Xenopus tropicalis: one gene and its partner. The protein of the gene in region 1 binds, or shares a complex with, the protein of each later gene. Links are inferred from orthologs where the notes say so. Each region holds a gene or a part of one and is shown on either strand. Other genes may lie near its edges.

Region 1 (4,376 bases):
ATCAAAGGTAACTCCAACTGCAAGCAAGGCGTCTAATAGTCAGAAAGGTTATAAAGGAACCCAGAGTAACTTCTAAGCAACTGGAGGCCTGTCTCACATTGGTAAATTGAAATGTTCATGAGTCCACTATCAGAAGAACACTGAACAGCAATGGTGTGTATGGCAGGGCAGCAAGGAGAAAGCCACTGCTCTCTCCCCCAAAAATATTGCTGACCATCTACAGTTTGCTAAAGATCATGTGGACAAACTAGAAAAATACTGGAAGAATGTTTTGGTGATGGATGAAGATAAAAAAGAAATTGTTGGCATTTTACATTTGGAGAAAAAAACACTGCATTCCAGCATTAGAAGCTTATTCCATCAGTGAAACATGATGGTGGGGGTGTTCTGGTTTGAACCTGTTTTACTGTATCTGGGCCTGGACAGCTTGCCATCATTGATGGAACACTGAATTCTGAACTATTGCAGAGAGTGTTAAAGGAAAATGTCAAGACATCTGTCTGTGAACTGATCTCAGAAGACAGTGGGTCATGCAGCAAGACAATGATCCTAAATAGTCGTTCTACCAAAGAATGGTTAAAGGAGAATAAAGTAAATATTCTGGAAAAGCAATGCCAAAGTCCTGACTTTAATCCAATTGTTATGTGAGGGAACCCACCAACATCCAAGAGCTGAAGCTGTTCTGTATGGAGGAAGGGGCTAAAATTCCATGGCTAAAAGTCAACAGGACTCATCAACAGTTACCGCAAACATTTAGTTGCAGTTATTGCTGCACCAGAGGGTCACACCAAACACTGAGAGCATGATTCGCTTGCTTTTGCCACTCGCAGATATGTTATTAGATCATTTTTTTCAATAAATACATGACCAAATATAATACTTTTTGCTTCATTTCTACTTTCAGTTCTACTTTTAGGACTTGATTGAAAAGGTGATGATGTTTTAGGTCACATTTATATAAAAATATAGAACATTTTAAAGGATTCACAAACTTTCAAGCATACTGCAGGGACTAAATTGCACCAGGGAAGTTATCTACAGCATTAAAATATGTATTTTCTTTCATATCTGTATTGGTAGTAGACTAGTAGGCTATTGAAAAACCAAAGTTTATTCATTTTAGTGCAGATATTATTAAATAAGCCCTACTAGTTGAAATGCAAAATGTTGGACCTCTAATGTTGTAAAAAAAAAAATAATTACATCCTTTCTATGTTTTTAGCTTTATTTGCAATCAAGTTTACTGGCCAGGTCTCCAACCCTTGGGAAGGACTTCCAATATATATTAGGAACGGAAATACGATAATACTGCCGCCAGGGTTCCCCGTCTGCCCACATATGCAACTAGCAGAGCGACTGGCTGGCTCCAGTTCCATGTGAGAATTAGGCAGCGCTACAGGAACGGCTTTGGCTAATGCTCCCTAACTAGAAAGGTCAGTATAACAGGCTGTGGCACAATCACAGGAAGTGAAGCTCAATGACAAGCTCAGAACTCTGGTTGACATAATCCCCGCCCATAGTTACCTGGGTCAGGTGGCACGTGACAATAGGGGCACCGCCCTCTCTTCCTTCCGGGTCTGGTAGTGACGGGGCACAGAGTTGACGTCATCACTGGCTGCCCTGTCAACTTGCCAGTGTCCCTCCGCGTAGAGCAAAGAGTTCCGGCCCTGGGTGGCTTCTTGAGTTCCGAAGCCGATCGGTATACAGGCTGTCGTTTGGAACACGTTTGGCGTTTTTATAAAGATCCGGAGTGTTGACCGCTGGTCTTGAAGCCGGTGACTCTACGGGATCCTTCCGCACAGCCGCGGTGCTGCGGCCCAGCAGCCGCCATTTTGGTTTGTCCCGGAGCCGTGGAGAGAGCAGCAGTACCGGGCGGTGAGAGGAAAGACCCTTGGCTAATGACAGTGATTAAGGTGGAGGCTAGTGACAGGTTGGAGGGGACTGACAGCAATAGTGTGACTAGAATCTCTCTGAGGGCATCAGTGACACTTAATTTGTGAATAGTGGGGCGTGAGGAAGAAAGTGGAAGATCACTGACCAGAGGCTGTATGCAATGGTGAAGGGACACTGACAGAACGAAAGCCTGATAACGCGTGTGTTGTCTGTGTCAGTAAATATTAATGTAGCTTCAGTGATCTGGTGGAAGGGTGTCCGTGAAAGACTTTGGCATTAGACTTGTTGCACAAGTGACTATATGTATGGCAGGGGCATTTAGGGATTTTCTGAGGTGCATCTGGATAGCCTTCTTGTGAGATAGGGTTGTGACAGCTAAAAGTCTGTGTGGGTTAATTCATATGTGTTGTGATTTCTGTCCACTATAAGGGACACTTGAGGTTTCATTTGCTGTCACTCTGTCTGCTTATATATAAGTTCTTATGTAGTCTGTGTGTATTGCGTCTGTTGGTATACATGGAATAACTGGAAATGTATTGGCCCCACAGCCCTTGGGGAAGGTGACATTTTTCATAGGCTTACATTGATATTGTACACCAGCTGGGGCAATGTTAGCTTTGTGTGTGAATTTTGAGGCCAGTGCACACAACAAATTGTGGATTACACAGTTAAAATGTGCGCCCAAAAGAATTATTTTAAGCACATAGCCAAGAACGAATTAGAGGGAACATTCATTGGCGGCCATTACACTCATGTTCCACCCAATAATTGAAGGGTCTGTTTACCATATCTTTATGCCCATGTATGTCAAGTTTTTCTGTACACCTCATTCTTTATGCCTATATCTTAGTACTCCCCTCATCTTTTATATACGTGTGTGTGTGTGTGTGTGCAATGTCAGGAGCCTGTAATCCACTATGGAAAAGTATAAAAGCATACAGGATCTATATAGTGTTGACACATAATACAGGTATGAGATCCATTATCAGGAAACCCAAACAGCTCCAGATTATATGAAGGCCATCAACCCTATTTTAATGAAACCATTCATTTTTAAAAAGGATTTCATTTTTCTCTGTAATAATAAAACAGTACCATATACAGATACCAAGACATAATAATCCTTATTGAAGGTAAAAAAAAAAAGTTTTTTCTACTAAAAAAAAATTATTTTTTAGTAGACAAAGTATAATGATCCAAATTACAGAAAGATTCCTTATCCAGAAAACCCCCAGGTCCCAAGCATTCTGGATAATGGGCCCCATACCTGTATTACACACCGTATCTCATTCATTTATTATAGGCTTTAAATATGACAGTATGCATGCTGTACATGTGCTTTGTTATTTCCAAGTAACATATTTTGCCGGACTACCTAACCTTTAGAGGAACACGGTACCTAAGTAATTACTGTGTAAGATAATTTTGTAACTTTCATAGATAATTACATTTTGAATACAGTAGCAACACGTAGGTTAGTTGAAATACATGTTGTGTATTACATTATGATGTCTTGTAGAATGTTGGTTAACAAAGAGGACAAAATTACATTCCCTTTCTAGTAACATGATTTTCTCCTAGGAAACCGCTGATACAAATTAAAATATCTTCAAAGTGTCAACACTTTTTTTTTTTAATTTAAATAATCACTTTGCTGACTCAATAAAATTGGTTTCCTAGTAAAAGCAGCTGATTTATACTGCCTGCTAGTTATAGGTGCATGTATTTTTTGTACAGTTGCCTGCTGCTTCCAGAAATGTGCATTAGAGACCTCCATAGTGCATGCTTCACAGTTTTATTTACATATACATTTTAGAAGTCATTTTCATTGTTTATGCGCAAGCGCCTTTTGTTGTTCTCCTTTTTAGTTTTGTTCTCCTTTTGCCCTTACTGAGCAAGTGCAAGTTAGTCCTGGCATGTACATTCAACTATAATTTAGAGCACTGCTACTGACCTGCACATTCCAAATAAAGTGGAATATTTGCTTTTTAAAAACTGAATAACAATACCCCAGAACATTGCAGATCTCTATTATAAAAAAAAAAATTTAAGTTTTCCTGTAAATAAAGCTTTTTTTAATACATTTATTTTTTTCCGTGTATCATCCCAGGATACAGTATTGTAAGTTTAAGTACCAGAGTTCCTCCTTTTGGACCATATGAGGCACTGAGTTTGCTCACAAACCAAATACATTCTAGGCTGCATTAGCTAATAAATGAGGGCTCAAATTAAATTATAGAAATATCTATTGATAAATAGCAGGTTTATGACAGTAGCATAAAGGTCCAGTAAGAGAGGACTATTTTGCTGGTTACATTTCCTGAGCAGTAAGGTTGATATGGAGGCTGCATGACATATGCGAAGAGCCCAGACTTGGTTATAAGAGAAAAATAAAATCTTGGTTTTACGCACCACAAACAAGTTTTATTTGTAGATCGAACATATATGTATAGCATTGACAAAGCTGTGTCACAGTAAGAGAC
Region 2 (4,379 bases), on another chromosome or scaffold:
GGGGGCACTGTGTATTGGGGCAATTGGGGGTACTGTGTATGGGGGCACTGTGTATTGGGGAAATTGGAGGTACTGTGTATGGGGGGCACTGTGTATTGGGGCAATTGGGGGTACTGTGTATGGGGGGCACTGTGTATTGGGGCAATTGGGGGTACTGTGTATGGGGGGCACTGTGTATTGGGGAAATTGGAGGTACTGTGTATGGGGGGCACTGTGTATTGGGGAAATTGGGGGTACTGTGTATGGGGGGCACTGTGTATTGGGGAAATTGGAGGTACTGTGTAAGGGGGCAATCGGGGCACTGTGTATTGAGGAAATTGGGGGTACTGTGTATGGGGGCAGTGTATTGAGGAAATTGGGGGTACTGTGTATGGGGGCACTGTGTAAGGGGGCAATCGGGGGTACTGTGTATGGGGGGCCACTGTGTATGGGGGAAATGTCTATAGGGGTAATTGAGGGCCCCTGATACTTTTAATGTCTGTGTGTCCTTTGTACTGATGGGAGGGGCCCCGTGATTGCTAATGGCGGCCAAGAGCAAGTGATTATTAAAAATTAAATAAGGAGCAAAATGACAGCAGTGAATGTATTTCCCCTCAGCATTATCTCTGACTTCCCAGCCAGGCACTTCCTGTGAGATGCCCCAAGCTCCTCCCTCTGCCTGACAGCTCAGGGACATACACGTAGCGCAGGTAAGAGCCCGCCCAAACCTGCCCCGGGGTCACCTGATGTCTGCGCCCGTTACCATGGATACCGGGAGGGAAAGCTGGCATTGCCTCAACCGCCTCAGTGTGCATGTGCGGCAGGTGTACTTCCCTCCGCCCTTATGGGTGAGGCCGGGGGAGGAGGAGGAAGCGGCTCCGGACACTCAGCTACGAGAGGCCGGGGACGGCGGCCTGGGGGGCAGGCCGCAGCATAAGGAGTCACCGCGTACAGAACAGGCAGCAAGATGGTGAGAAATGGGGGATATGGAGGGGGAGCAGGCAGTGCGTTTCACAGGAGGCGGCTCTGCTAAATGCATTGGTATAATGATAACCAGGCGCCTCCATTCTCAGGTACCAGTGGGCGGGATTTATATCAATTAAGGAGGCGGAGCCTCCTGCAGTTCTCTGACAAACCGCCTGGGCATACCTACATACACTACACAAGCCGGCCAAGGTACAAGGCATTTTATAGACGCACCGAGCCCCGCCCTCAGGTTTCTACGTGAAGCGTCACAGCCCTTACGTACAGGCATGACGCCGCAAATCTCGCGTGAGGAAACGGGATTTGCTGGGAGACAGGAGGCCGGGAGCTTGCGGGGAACAGCGTTGCGGGAGGTGTAAGTAGCCAGTCGGTACCGTGTCAGGGCAAGCGGGAGTGTTGGGCGGGGCTGCGCTTAGTTACAGTAGCCGGGCTCGGTGCTGTGGGCTTGGGAAGGGAGCCGGGGTGCCGGCATGTTCTGTCCCCTGCTGCTTCCCGTAGTGCTGCGCGTTTGCCAGGGAAGTTTTAGTCTGTTTAAAGCTGCATGAGAATTGGAAGGGTGGGGGGCGAGGTTAAGGCTGCTCAGCCAATCCTGGTGCAGCTCCTGTGTGGGACCCCCTTGGAAAAAGCATAGAACTGATTTATCCAGCCTAACCACACCCCCTTGCCCTGACTCCTCCCCCAGCCCACTCACTTATAAATCCCTGCTCTCTAGTCAAGTTTTTCCCTACCCGCTCCTAAACATTACCCCCGATAGTGATGTGTGGGCTGGCTCCATACCTTGCTAATTCCCTGCCCTCTGTGCCCAGTCCCGCTGGGAAGTCACTACAGAAATGGATTCAGAATGTTGCATTAACCCCAGAGATGATATATATATGGGATCAACTGCAGAACTGCCCCACATCCCAGTAGAAAGTAACAGTACAGTCACATACCCTATAGAGCAGGGAGCAGGGGGTAGAACTGCCCCACATCCCAGTAGAAAGTAACAGTACAATCACATACCCTATAGAGCAGGGAGCAGGGGGTAGAACTGCCCCACATCCCAGTAGAAAGTAACAGTACAATCACATACCCTATAGAGCAGGGGGCAGGGGGTAGAACTGCCCCACATCCCAGTAGAAAGTAACAGTACAATCACATACCCTATAGAGCAGGGGGCAGGGGGTAGAACTGCCCCACATCCCAGTAGAAAGTAACGGTACAATCACATACCCTATAGAGCAGGGGGTAGAACTGCCCCACATCCCAGTAGAAAGTAACAGTACAATCACATACCCTATAGAGCAGGGTGTAGAACTGCCCCACATCCCAGTAGAAAGTAACAGTACAATCACATACCCTATAGAGTATGGAGCAGGGGGTTGAACTGCCCCACATCCCAGTAGAAAGTAACAGTACAATCACATACCCCATAGAGCAGGGGGTAGAACTGCCCCACATCCCAGTAGAAAGTAACAGTACAATCACATACCCTATAGAGCAGGGGGTAGAACTGCCCCACATCCCAGTAGAAAGTAACAGTACAATCACATACCCTATAGAGCAGGGGGTAGAACTGCCCCACATCCCAGTAGAAAGTAACAGTACAATCACATACCCTATAGAGCAGGGGGTAGAACTGCCCCACATCCCAGTAGAAAGTAACAGTACAATCACATACCCTATAGAGCAGGGAGCAGGGGGTTGAACTGCCCCACATCCCAGTAGAAAGTAACAGTACAATCACATACCCTATAGAGCAGGGGGTTGAACTGCCCCACATCCCAGTAGAAAGTAACAGTACAATCACATACCCTATAGAGCAGGGGGTAGAACTGCCCCACATCCCAGTAGAAAGTAACAGTACAATCACATACCCTATAGAGCAGGGGGTAGAACTGCCCCACATCCCAGTAGAAAGTAACAGTACAATCACATACCCTATAGAGCAGGGGTAGAACTGCCCCACATCCCAGTAGAAAGTAACAGTACAATCACATACCCTATAGAGCAGGGGGTAGAACTGCCCCACATCCCAGTAGAAAGTAACGGTACAATCACATACCCTATAGAGCAGGGAGCAGGGGGTTGAACTGCCCCACATCCCAGTAGAAAGTAACAGTACAATCACATACCCTATAGAGCAGGGGGTAGAACTGCCCACATCCCAGTAGAAAGTAACAGTACAATCACATACCCTATAGAGCAGGGGGTAGAACTGCCCCACATCCCAGTAGAAAGTAACAGTACAATCACATACCCTATAGAGCAGGGGGTAGAACTGCCCCACATCCCAGTAGAAAGTAACAGTACAATCACATACCCTATAGAGCAGGGGGCAGGGTGTAGGGCAGACAGGTTGAGCCTGAATAGAATAGAAATGGGAGCCTCTGTCTATACTGTCCAATTGCATGCTGGGTATTGTAGTTTTATATTAATCCTAGCTGTAGGCTAATTGTTAGATACAAACTACATTACCCAGCATCCAGTGGAACAGGCACACTAGGGTGGAAAAACTTTGGCTAGTTTCCAAACTACAAACTTGCCAAAGGCTCCAAAAAATAGCCCAAAACTGTACCTTGGCGGGTTTGTACCTTATATAGCCAGGGCTTTAAATTAGTAGCCCAATTTGGAGGGAAAACCACCAACCTGGCAACCATGAGGTGCGTGGCCACCGTGCTCCGCCCCTTTTCTAACATCATGATGGGTGGGTGCAGGTATATAAACACAGGGAAGAAGCCGGTTCAGGTTGGGAGCGGTCGGATCGACCCACACATCACCGCTACCCTCTATGTAGGGGAAAGAACCTGCAGGCACCCAAGCTTCCCGCCCTCCCTTCCCAAGTCTGCAGCTCACTGACAGCAGGGGGTACATTATCCCTTATAATACATGAGTGATACTCAGAGTTCCCTGTATAACTCAGCCTGCAGCCTTGTGCCTTTATATGGGCACAGAACCCCTCAGTGACTGCTAATATCCTTATCATTTACAGTAGGGGGTACATTATCCCTTATAATACATGAGTGATACTCAGAGTTCCCTGTATAACTCAGCCTGCAGCCTTGTGCCTTTATATGGGCACAGAACCCCTCAGTGACTGCTAATATCCTTATCATTTACAGTAGGGGGTACATTATCCCTTATAATACATGAGTGATACTCAGAGTTCCCTGTATAACTCAGCCTGCAGCCTTGTGCCTTTATATGGGCACAGAACCCCTCAGTGACTGCTAATATCCTTATCATTTACTGTAGGGGGTACAGTACCCCTTATAATACATGAGTGATACTCAGAGTTCCCTGTATAACTCAGCCTGCAGCCTTGTGCCTTTATATGGGCACAGATCCCCTCAGTGACTGCTAATATCCTTATCATTTACAGTAGGGGGTACAGTACCCCTTATAATACATGAGTGATACTCAGAGTTCCCTGTATA

Evidence for each region.
Region 2: the proteins of ap1g1 (region 1) and ap1s1 are in contact, whole or in part, in a crystal structure (PDB 1W63), measured with the Mus musculus proteins. The link is inferred for Xenopus tropicalis from reciprocal best matches to the Homo sapiens genes AP1G1 and AP1S1. Residues at the interface, in NP_001288140.1 of Mus musculus: Leu7, Arg8, Ile11, Arg12, Arg15, Leu54, Tyr55, His57, Met58, Gly60, Tyr61, Lys78, Phe79, Thr80, Arg83, Ile84, Leu87, Met90, Leu91, Asp94, Glu95, Thr115, Phe117, Leu123, Cys124, Gly127, Cys128, Tyr152, Lys155, Lys156; in NP_031483.1 of Mus musculus: Met1, Leu14, Arg15, Leu16, Gln17, Lys18, Trp19, Leu21, Ala22, Thr23, Asp25, Arg28, Lys29, Arg42, Lys45, Met46, Cys47, Ser48, Phe49, Glu51, Lys56, Gln74, Asp75, Asn76, Glu77, Leu78, Ile79, Leu81, Glu82, Leu83.

The regions. Positions count from the first base shown.
Region 1 is NC_030680.2:59,329,654-59,334,029, forward strand, and holds the start of ap1g1 (AP-1 complex subunit gamma-1), read left to right. Parts: upstream 1-1,562; 5' UTR 1,563-1,898; coding exon 1,899-1,913; intron 1,914-4,376. UniProt on the Homo sapiens protein: Subunit of clathrin-associated adaptor protein complex 1 that plays a role in protein sorting in the late-Golgi/trans-Golgi network (TGN) and/or endosomes.
Region 2 is NC_030679.2:143,417,760-143,422,138, forward strand, and holds the start of ap1s1 (AP-1 complex subunit sigma-1A), read left to right. Parts: upstream 1-1,277; 5' UTR 1,278-1,318; intron 1,319-4,379. UniProt on the Homo sapiens protein: Subunit of clathrin-associated adaptor protein complex 1 that plays a role in protein sorting in the late-Golgi/trans-Golgi network (TGN) and/or endosomes.